Bombyx mori: one gene and its partner. The protein of the gene in region 1 purifies or fractionates together with the protein of each later gene. This does not show direct contact. Links are inferred from orthologs where the notes say so. Each region holds a gene or a part of one and is shown on either strand. Other genes may lie near its edges.

What was found.
Region 2: the proteins of cyclin B homolog (region 1) and Cdc2 purify together in Drosophila melanogaster (affinity purification with western blotting; 8 studies listed by BioGRID, with this or other methods). This does not show direct contact. The link is inferred for Bombyx mori from reciprocal best matches to the Drosophila melanogaster genes CycB and Cdk1.

The regions. Positions count from the first base shown.
Region 1 is NC_085111.1:8,673,853-8,680,010, forward strand, and holds the end of cyclin B homolog, read right to left. Parts: coding exon 6,028-6,158; intron 5,400-6,027; coding exon 5,277-5,399; intron 4,483-5,276; coding exon 4,262-4,482; intron 2,802-4,261; coding exon 2,414-2,801; 3' UTR 1,666-2,413; downstream 1-1,665. UniProt on the Drosophila melanogaster protein: Essential for the control of the cell cycle at the G2/M (mitosis) transition.
Region 2 is NC_085122.1:10,046,022-10,051,934, forward strand, and holds the start of Cdc2 (cell division cycle 2), read right to left. Parts: upstream 4,017-5,913; 5' UTR 4,006-4,016; coding exon 3,857-4,005; intron 3,737-3,856; coding exon 3,592-3,736; intron 3,191-3,591; coding exon 3,056-3,190; intron 2,365-3,055; coding exon 2,255-2,364; intron 1,927-2,254; coding exon 1,813-1,926; intron 949-1,812; coding exon 846-948; intron 176-845; coding exon 1-175. Other genes in the region: uncharacterized protein LOC110385314, read left to right, coding at 5,912-5,913. UniProt on the Drosophila melanogaster protein: Plays a key role in the control of the eukaryotic cell cycle. Required for entry into S-phase and mitosis.

The DNA of each region.
Region 1 (6,158 bases):
AGTCACAAATTGATTCTTAAATTAAAATAAATCTGGTAATTAAAGTATGGAAACTTTGTTTTTTTCACTACATCATTTGGAAAAATATTTGAATAGTTATGAGCACACCTCCGATTACCCTCTTTAGCCAACCCCATTACCCTGGGCCAGGAAGGTGTCACCCTGAATGCATCCATGACATTCCGCCCCCATATAAAATCCGACGGCGACCATGCCGCGTTTCTTCTCGGCAGACTCTACCGGAGCGGAGTAAAATGTCCTTTCGGAACAAGGTGACACTTTACAAAACTTGCATAAAGCCCGTCAAGACTTACGCAAGTGTGGTGTTCACTCACGCGGCCCGCACACACAGAACACCCTCCAATCTCTACAATCCCACTTATAAAGGCTAGCCGTCGGAGCTCCGTGGTTCGTGAGGAACGTTGACCTACACGACGACCTGGGCCTCGAATCTATCCAGAAATACATGAAGTCAGCGTCGGAACGGTACTTCGATAAGGCTATGCGTCATGATAATCGCCTTATTGGTGCCGCCGCTGACTACTCCCCGAATCCTGATCACGCAGGATCCAGTCACCGTCGACGCCCTAGATACGTCCTTACGGATCCATCAGTTCCAATAACCCTTGCATTAGCTTTAACACTAGGAGTAGGGACCCCGGTAACCGTGGTCCTCGAACTCGGCCAACCTAACCTAAGCATCAGCCCGCTGAGTTTCTCGCCGGATCTTCTCAGCGGGTCGCGATTCCGATCCGGTAGTAGACTCATTCGCGAAACAGCTACTCTTTGAGGAGTTAGGTCTCGTTTCGAGGCGCTCGAGCAGCTGTTAACAAACCCCACCCCTCCTGACTGAGCCTCTGCTCGCCCACCTGTCCTGGTAAAACTGGAAAGGCCTCCGGGCCACCAGTAACTCTACTCTACTGAACTACCAGTAACGAATTCTCTAATATAAAAAAATAAATAAAAATAATGAGTATAAACAACCGAGTGCGCGATATCACGAAAGATGAATAATAGAAAATTCAATAAGATCAATAATAAATTACAGTTCCCGAAACAAAGCGCGGGCGGGTCGGTAGTATGAAATAATTTACTTTGCACATTCCAATTTAATCTACCAGAAGTTCTGTTAATGCAGCAAATAGGTAGGTACTATTAATTAAATAGCGTAGCGTTAATTTTTTTTTTCCTACCTATGCTGATAGCCTTGAGAGGCTATTTTAGCTTCACCCTAACGTTTGTAGGTGAGCTCACGGGGCTCAACCGGAGAGTTGCTAACACTGACCTTAAGTGTATAATCTATGCACTGACCCTAGCAAGAGCAGTGCTTCGCAGAATCTACCACCGAATCGGAAACACGACCCACTGAGAAGATCCGACGAGAAACTCAGTGGGCTGTGTCTATGGGTTAGTTCGCTCGTCGAGCCCTTCGTCGCAAGCGACGAGTTCGATGAGGATGGTGACCGGTGCATGTAGTGCCTAAAAGCACCGTTAATGGATCAGGAGGATCCGTAATGACGTGCTTTGGGCGACGTCGACGGTTTACCATTCGGTCTACTGGGTAGGGTATGTAGTTTCCAGCGGCTACGATGAGAGGGTTCTCATGTCCCCGTAGCGTTCATAGGTTTTTAATTAACAAACTAGTCGCAATAAAACAGTTTATTTGTACATCATTTTTTTATTTATCAACAAACGACACCGTTAAATCTAATCACAGGTCTAAAAATTACATTCTAAAATATCATATTTAAACACAAGAACACTTTCAATATTATATCAAAATACCACCCAACACATTGTTCGATTCATGTCTTAAAATACGCGGGCAGCGAGTCACGTTTTTACCTCATTTTCGTTAAGAAAAACAAAAGAACAAAAACAGTTAAGGAAATAGTTAAATCATACAACCCAATCTCTAGAAACTATATTAATTTTGAAAATATTAAGAAGCATGCAGCATGTGAATATTGATCAGAATATTCAATATAGTGAATAAGTCGACGTCATGTCTAGTTTGTATACAAGTCGTAATTTAAAATCATCCTCTCGGACAAAAATCTTTACCATAATGAAAACACTATACAAATAAAGAAACTACTAAAAACCTGAAGTGATTTTTTTTATAATATAAATAACAAAAGGTTCAAGTTATGTAAAATGTAGTCCACTTTCAGATATAAATACATAAATACAAATAATATCCATGTCAATACAATTCTATCAGCACTCACAGTCATCATATATTTTATCTAAAAACTAAATTATATCTAAATTTAAAACATAAACAAAGCAGGTACCTTAAAACAAGCTTAATATAAAACTCAGTCCATTAAATTAACATTACAAATCAGAAAAGTACACACATGTCCATATTATTTCTATATTCCTACATATTTTGGTAATTGAATTTAATCTAAGGGCTTGGGCTTGATATCTTTGCGAGTTCATAAATCGCTTCGCTTTTCAACTGCGGAAGACTGGAAACTTTAGCCAACGTCGTGTCCAAATATTTGTTATATACGGCTTTATATTTGGAATTTTCAATGTTAATAACAATCTTTGCGATTTTCCTTATAATCGGATCTATGTGGTCAAGATCGTACCCAGAGTAGTAAGACAAGGTAGACGTCCATACTTCGGAGAGTGTCTTGCTCGATAGCAAATGAAGTGAGAGGCAGATTGCTGCCGCTGCTAGTTCTGACGGTCGATAATGGGCCATAGTATATTCGACTAGACAGAGATCAACAAAGTATTTGGCCAAATGATGATTCCTCGATGTACCACGTGCGGCTTTTACAAATCTAGAATAACATAAAAATTATCAATAACACGTCAGCGCAAAAGTGGCCTAACCCATAATTCATATTCGTGCTTATGTATTGCAATTTATTTAAAACATAATAAATTTTGATGCAAAATCGGCTTATCCTTAGTTTCATCCATAGATGCCTTTTGGAAACATCATTTTAGCGCATATTTTTTTTGCCTACGGAGTATTGTAAAGGTAAATTCGAACTTCATTTTCTCCATACTAACTATGGTAAGCTTAGGCCACTTTTGCGCTGACGGCCTCATATATAAACAAGTTTTTGACTGCATTACTTACATTTCAAATAATACGATGACTGTCTTGCAGAAAATAAAAATTTTATGCAAGTGGACCTAACAATTTAAAATTTTGAAAAATTGATATATCATGAGGTCCTTTCCTGAAGTGGTGTTAAAGTCTTAATTTATGTATAAAGAAATTTGTTTTTAGGTATAAACGAACCCATTATTCACTTAGTATTAGGTAGTTAGTTACCAGAGCCCATAGAACACCATGATTCCGACTAAAACAAGAGGTTGAAGTCTCAAAGGCACTATTAAAAGCACACCCATGATTCAAACTGGAACGAATTGTTTTATTTTTTTTCCTACTTAAGCTGGTAGCCTTGAGAGGCCATTCCAGCGGAACCTTAACTAGTAGGTGAGAGCTCACGGGGCTCAAACCTGACGAAGTTGCTAACACGAACCCTAGCAAGAGCCGTGCTTCGCAGAATCTACCACCGGATCGGAAACGCGACCCTGAGAAGATCCGGCGAGAAACTCAGTGGGCTGTGTCTGAGGGTTAATTTACTCGTCGAGCCCTTCGTCGCAAGCGACGGGTTCGACGAGAACGGTGACCGATGCTTAAAGTACCTAAAAGCACCGTTAGTGGATCGGGAGGATCCGAAATGACGTGTTTTGGGCGACGTCGACTGCTTTCCATTCTTTCCGCAGGATCGGGAATGTAGTTACCGGCGGCCACGGTGAGAGGGTTCTCGTGTCGTGCCTCTTAATCGAAGTGGACGCTATTGTAAAAATCGTTTGCGCACATAGGAGCCTGTGTTAAGTACGTATTTACTTGATTTGCCTTAATTGACACCTGCCTACAGATTCGTAACAATGGCATAGTTTCATTGCTTTATGAGAATGCACCCGACGTCTTTTCTCTTTATGATGACTTAACGTAACATTACGATTATACCACTATTTTTCCAAACAAATTAATTCTGTTAAAAAAAAGTTTTAAATTACATATTTCAGATTTATTGTTTGTTTTCTACTACCATCTGCAACCTACCACTGCTACCACCAATTCTTCAATGCACTTAGTCCAAAGGTTCTACTATTCAATTAGGACAAAGTTGCCTAAATCAGGAGAAGGATGGAATTCGTTTTCATATTATAAGATGCTCAATACATCAATATAGAAATAAAAAAAAGACAATCACAATACCTTCTAAGAAAACTCAAAGGTATCGGTCTCGCAAGACAGAAGCCCAGTTTGCACATAATGTCTCTCTCACAGCGGAATACATCAGACTTGGTGTAGGCATTATCAGTGACATAAACAAAATCGCCAACATCTGGAGCGTAGATCTCTTCATACTTGCTTGCTATGAACATAGCCGTCACACCGACTAATTGTAATTGATTGCGCTGGACATTTGGAACAACCTGTACAAAGCAGTAATGTTTAATATTTGGTCATTTTTTGTTACTTACATGATAATAATACTCTTTTGAAGTCCTCGTGGCCTAAAGAATAAGACGTCCGGTGCATCGTATCTAACGATGCAACGATGTTCGAATTCCGTAGGTGGGAACCAATTTTTCTAATGAAACACGTACTTAACCAATGTTCATGATTGACTTCCACGGTGAAGGAATAACATCTTATAATAAAAATCAAACCCGCAAGATTATATTTTGCGTAATTACTGGTGGTAGGACCTTTTGTAAATCTGCACGGGTTGGTACCACCATCTTGCCTATTTCCGCCTGAAGCAGTAATGGGTTTGATTTGAAGGATGGGGCAGCTGTAGTAACTATACTGAGACCTTAGAACTTATACCTCAAGGTGGGTGGTGCATATACGTTGTAGATGTCTATGGGCTCCGGTAACCAGTTAACACCCGGTGGGCTGTGAGCTTGCCCACCCAGATAAGCAATAATAATAAAAAACTCAAGTTTCTTAACTTCTCACCCTTTAATCCTAATATTCAATCTATCTGGTGATAATGGCTATTCTGAGCTAACAAAGATCAATACTATGGGACAGTAGTTCTGTTGTAATCACATATTCTGACTTGAAGAGTAGAGCCAGCAGGTAATACATTTAAGACTGAATTTAGTCTTAAGGATGATATGGTATTTCAATTCCCACAGAATAGTCATAGGAAAACAAGTATTCCCCCCATTAAACCAGATGGTTTGCTTTTATGCTGCACATACTACTTAGATCACTATACCTGCAAATATCTGTCAATAATGCCAACAGTGAGATGGAATGTCTCCAATACTAATGAGAATTGGCGTTGAACTTCCACAAGCCAATCAATGAGTGTTGCTCTCATTTTGCCAGTTATAACAGTCTGAAATAAAAAAAATACATGTTTCAAAACCTATTGCAAAAAGGCATGCCTTAGGCTCAAATTTATTGTTGCATTCAATGTTCCTAAGATTTCAATTACTTTAGATTACTTTACTCTAAAAAATATGTACAATACTTATCATTCATTAGTTTTACTTACATAGCCTTCTTACATCATTTAATGTTCAACAGAATTGGTTCATTCAACTCAGATCAGACTCAGCTACCCACCATTATAGTCTTAAATTACAAAATCAGACTGGAACACATTATTGCTTCATGGCCATAATGGACAGGCTGATATAAACGCAACAAATAGTGCCAACCAGATTATTGAAGCACAAGGAAACATTACAGCAAATTACTACTAATAGAGAGAGTAATAAGACTGTATAAATAAATTTTATGACAAAACTTTATTAATGCTCAAGGCAGCTGTCGCATATTATTATTAACTATATTCATTATAATCCTATATTATTATAGTCTAAAAGTTTTCAATTATTTCTAGTACCAATTCAAATTTTCTTTTCTTTTTTTTCTAAATATAATAAACAACATACGTAATGATAAACCAACCAGGTAGAAATTTACAAAAAAGTATTAAATATATGAGAACGACAGTTTACCTGCTTTTTTAAATGATCAGGCTCAATAGAATATTTCTCTTCCAATTCAGTCAAGTATTTGTAAATGTCCTTGATATACATAGACATTAGCAAAGGGCTGTTGTTGTCTCCGGCATCAATATCTTCAATAT
Region 2 (5,913 bases), on another chromosome or scaffold:
ATGGGTATTCTGGCGTCACTCTGATGTAAGCGTCGTGCACTGTCAGTCCGGGAGGTAGTTTCACGTCTCTAAAGTACTTGTGTCGTCGCGCGTCCTTCGCGGATATTCTTTTAACCGGATCGTAGACTAACATCTTTTGTAACAAATCCATGCCCACTTCGTCTAGGTTTTGTACCTGTAAAAAATGCACGTTACAATTGACGGTAGGAAGAAAAGATTTAACTCAGTCACGTCATTGATAATAACTAGTATAATATAATATAGCTTAAATGGTGTTGGGGAGTCTTGTAAGTCCGCACGAGCAGTAACGTATTCTGGTTTGAATGACGAGACAACTATTGTACTGTAAAACTGGGACTCAGAACTTATGTTCCAAGATGGGTGGCGGCATTTGTGTCGTTAATGACATGAATAAATGCTGTTTATTAGATTCCGTTACCGTTATTATAGGTGGGCCACATGCTCAATCACAAGTCTGAGCGATAAAGAAAGTGAAGAAAGATAGTTTTGATATGAGGTCGAAGTTTCAATATAAATCACATAAGAGCTGTCCCATCTTACAAACTGGAACGCATAAGTGCTTCACGACAGAAACAGGACATCAAAGTCCAGAATAAATATATTAAAAAAACATTATACAACACACACACACACACACACACAAAACTTTTAACAGCTGGTTCTGCTAAAATAAACTTTCACTAAAATCCCAAGGGAATATCTTGGCTAGCTGGAGTAGTGTCACTCATTATGTAATAGAATTCAATTAGTTTTTCATATATCTGGAAATATCTCAAGAACAATAGACATATAAAAATCTAAAATAAAATATGCTTCATACGTACATGATTGTGCAGATTGTACGTGTTCCAGTTCGGGAAGGTTGGCTTGTAGTCTGGTAGGAGAGAAACACCAGGCCATATCTCTTCTGTTGGCGTTCTTAGCATTCTGTTAATAAATTAAGAGATCTTGTGATTTAAATAGTTACTAATAAGAAAAAGTGTACTCCAGCAGATACCATATACATTGATCATAAACGAAATTGGAAAATGAGTCAGAAAAATTAACTCAAAAAAAATTGGGAGTCACAAATCCCATATTAGAAGTTTAGTTCATTCATGTATCTCCATTTCATTGGAAATTATGCATGGAGCAAATCTATCTGTTCAGAATTTCACACTTTATTGATTTGAATTTACACATATAGTTTGTTTTATTTAAGCTAATATCAGGTATAAGCAAGGTCGCAAGAAAGTGGAGGTACATCCGGGAATGGAATGGATAAACAGAAGTTTTAGAGGCTAACAATATGTAAACTAGTCTTCTATTTCTTTCTACATACTTCAAAATTACATATTTATAATCATATTTACTGCCCTGTAAATGTAAGTCAAACATTTCATTATATTCATTCTTTTATTGGAAGGAAATCACTCAATCAAGTTGAAATAGTATTATTATAATTTAATTACCCCAACAACAGGTTTTTTTAAAATTTATTAACTGTTATATAAGTGTTGTTGTAGTAATTGCACACCCAAAAAAAACAACCAAAACTTGAATGTCCACATCATATTTTAGTTAGTGTTCAATCTGTGTTTTAATCCAAAACTAGAGTTTTATTCTAAGCACCAGTTACATTCCATTGTTGAAGGGAGCATAAAAAACTTTTTTTTTTCAATTATTGTTGTTAAGATTTAACTCTAATAAATCTAAGGCAGACAAGCATCACAGTAAGTGGTCACCGTTGCTCATGGACCTCAGAAATACATAGCCAAAGCCTACCACTAAAATGGCGAAATGCCTACTCACCTGAAAATGCGGAAGAGTTGATCAATTTCAGAGTCTCCTTGAAACAGTGGCTTCTTTGATGACATCTCAGAGAATATACAGCCAACTGACCATATATCAATTGGACAAGAGTATCTAAAAGTAAGACAAGTTACTATTATACAAAATAAATAATAAATAAATAAATAATCTACCAAATAATGAACTCCACACGGTCACTGACCATTCTTTTGTATTAAGAAACAATTAGTGGCAATGTATTGCCACACTATTCTATGAATTTACAATGCAACTTGCCATTTTTTAGAAAACAAAGTCTAAAGCTCTTAAAACAAAATGTTTTTTCTAAAATACATTTCATTATTGGGCCAAATTACAACTAATGTGTATTGATTACTCATTATAGAAAAGTTATATTGGAGTTTGTAGTGGCTGGTTTTGACTGATTTGGATAAGATTTTACCTTTGACTTCCTAGTAAGACCTCAGGAGCCCTGTACCACAATGTGACAACTTCATGTGTGTAGACCCGCACTGGAACACCGAATGCTCGACCAAGACCAAAATCTGCAACCTGTCACAAATTTATTAGGTATTTATGAAGAAAATAAAACTATATGACCATTGTCTAATGTCAGTGTTTGACTTTTCAAACTGGTAAAACTATATTTTGAACAAATATACTATGACATGGCCTTCACACACGTCATTTCGGATCCTCCCGATCCACTAACAGTACTTTTAGGTACCTCAAGCACCGATCATCGTTCTCGTCGAACCCGTCGCTTGCGACGAAGGGCTCGACGAGTAAATTAACCCTCAGACACAGCCCACTGAGTTTCTCGCCGGATCTTCTCAGTGGGTCGCGTTTCTGATCCAGTGGTAGATTCTGCGAAGCACGGCTCTTGCTAGGGTTCGTGTTAGCAACGTCATCAGGTTTGAGCCCCGTGAGCTCACCTATTAGTTAAGGTTACGCTGATATAGCCTCTCAAGGCTATCAGGTTAGGTAGAAAAAAAAGGCCTTCACATTGACCTATAGTAATAGCACTGACACTGTTCAGTCAGTATCAACACCAATATACATGGTCTATATAGCGTCCATAGTTTCATGTTACTGGTTTTGATTTACAACTTTTTTTAAAACGATAAAAAGGCTGTCAGTAGTCTAGAATTATCGAGAGGGTTCTTGCTGGTCCCAAGACTCACTGTTTAGCACTTTTTAATATCTTTTTGCAATTATTAATATCACCATAAAATACTCTCACTTTAATGATTCCAGTCTTGTCGATGAGTAGGTTCTGTGGTTTGAGATCTCGATGCAGGATCCGTCGTTGGTGACAGTACAAGATGGCATTGTTGATTTGATATAGATAGCTCTTAACTACAGATGGGTCCATGAACTGAAAATAAATAATGATAACCAATATTTTTACAAAAATTTACTCTGTTACAAAATTTAACATTAAGAATTACTTTGCCTTGTCTTGTGTGACTTATTTATTGCATTTATAGATGGCCCACCTGATGGTGAGTTGTATCTAGGTCTTGCGGAAATCAGCAATTCTAGAGGCAAATCCCAGCCATGGTCAACTGCTGACGCATTATCTCAGGAGACCTTCGCAGTTTATTTAAACAAAAAAGTTTTTTTTTTTCAGAAATAAAAACTCCAAAGATGCAACTAGTCCTAATTAACAATTTTTTATATTTTAAGCATTGTACTACAATTTATATGATTGTGGACACACTTCAAACAGGCGTCATAGTTTGTTGTAAAATTTAATTTAAGGCATGGTTATGTTACCTTTCCAGAACCAAGGGAGTCCATATATTTCTTCAAGTCCATAGAGAGGAATTCGAAGATTAAGTAAAGTCGCGACTCTTCCATCAGGACATCCTCCAACTTGACAATATTAGGGTGGTTCAGTTCTTTAAGTAGAGATATTTCTCTGAAATGTTTTCAAGAAGTTCTGGTTAATATAGGTTATGTTCTCAAATGCATGAGAATGTGTTTTTAATTAATATAATTGTTTTTGTGCAAGTAATTCATTCAATTTTACGTCGTTTACCTTATTGCCGTGGATGGTATGCCTTCGTCTTCGGACTCCAAGCGAATTTTTTTCATGGCTACAAATTGACCAGTTATTTTGTTTTTTCCTTTGTAAACGACACCGTAAGTACCTTCGCCGATCTTTTCTATCTTTAAGAAATCATCCATCTTGTAGTAAGGAATTTTGGCGGTTTTATGCAGACCACAACAAAAAAATCACAACACCATGCAATTTTTCTTACTCCTACAAAATGCGTGTTTTAATAATTTTTATGTGTTTTAAATTCATAAATGTCTCAACATTTGACTGTAATCCTTAATTCAAGTCACTTCTGTTCTTTTTAGGAAATATTTTAAATGTTTTACTATTTTACAATCTCTAACGTTTATCCCTTCAACGTCTTTCAAACGAAAACTTTTTGAAAATTTTCGAAGTGGACTATTTATGTCAATTTATGTGTCTATGCTTTGTTTATGACTAACTTGTTTCAGAGTTAAATAACGCTTAGAATAGCATAAATGTGCTACTTCAATAGACAAAATTGTTGTTGCTAGAATGAGATAGTACTAGAACACTAAAAATGCATATCAAAAAGCTTGATGTTTTATGAATGGTATCGGAACACATTATCATAGACAAACAAAGAGAGATTAATTTGAAAAGCAAGACGTACATACATACGTTGTAAGCATTAGTCTATTTTAAATAATGCAAACTGAATCATTTCAAAGTAAAATATAAATATTAGTTTAATTAATTTATTTATTTTGTTAAGAGTTACACAGGAAAGCAACGATACATTATTTTTACAGTAGTTTTCGTCGTGCAACACTAGAAATGAATCTGTTGGTACCCTAATGTGTGGAAAACAAAGCTTAACTAAATATAACTGTTTATGGTTTTCAATCTGATTTAAGGTCATAAATAGTCACAATCGATCTTTTTTTCGAGGCATCACATTAGGCTTAGATTTTTTTTGCTATAGCTTGTTTTATATCCGCGATAAACGCGTTTTTTTCTCATTTCTCTCATTTTAAGACCTCAAACGTGTTTTATGTTTTTATTGGATCGCATAACATTTTATATCTTAACTAGGTAGTCTGATTTCAAAATATCCAATAATCGTTGCTCGATATCCGTGTTTCATTCATATCCGCCATTATTGTAGCGACAGTCTGTACTTTAAAGTAATAAATGAGAATCTTTTATTGTTTTGAATTCTAAAAATGCTAGTCGTATAATTGTTTTAGGTACCTACAAATTTGAACCGATTTTGGTATTTCCAGACTGATATCGGATTTAATTTTATTCGATTCCCGATCGCGACTGCTTTTATTAAAATGCCGTCTGATTTAACCCTTAAAGTTTAAGGGTTAAGGTAAAATAAGGTCCAAGATTTCGGCCAGAGAGAGGTAATGAGAGCAATTCATCATACTCAAATTCTACAGATAATTTAATCTGTTTCTCAATTGAACTCTATGTAAACTTTTGCCCTTGAGCGCATTATTGTTTTGCAGCAGAAACAAGTAATATGGTGGAAACTCCCGTACCGGCTCTATGTCATAAAATACAAGCAATGCATAAAGACCGGTACACAATCACGAAATGCTGTTAATAAAAGCATTAAAATACTCTGACAATGCCCATTGTACGTTGAACCCATTTATTTAAAGTTTTTCTTTATTGCCCTTGTAGGCAGACGAGCATACGGCCCACCTGATGGTGAGTGGTTACCGTCGCCCATGGACTTCAGCAATGCCAGGGGCAGAGCCAAGCCACTGCCTACCGCTAAAACGCATTAACATCATGCAGTCAAATTTCTGAGAATCAATAATATGCACTATATTATTTACAATAGAACACGGCGATTTATATTACATACTTTAACTTGTGGGTCAATAATCTAGATAACGTTAAATTGATAAACTATATACTGTTTAGCTCAGCATATTTTCAAATCACGTATGTACGGCCAAGCGTGACATTACACATGTATTTTTATCAATATGAATATAATATAGGCGATGGAGTTGATAATTCGATATTATTCACTAATGTCAGCCCGTGTGGACAAT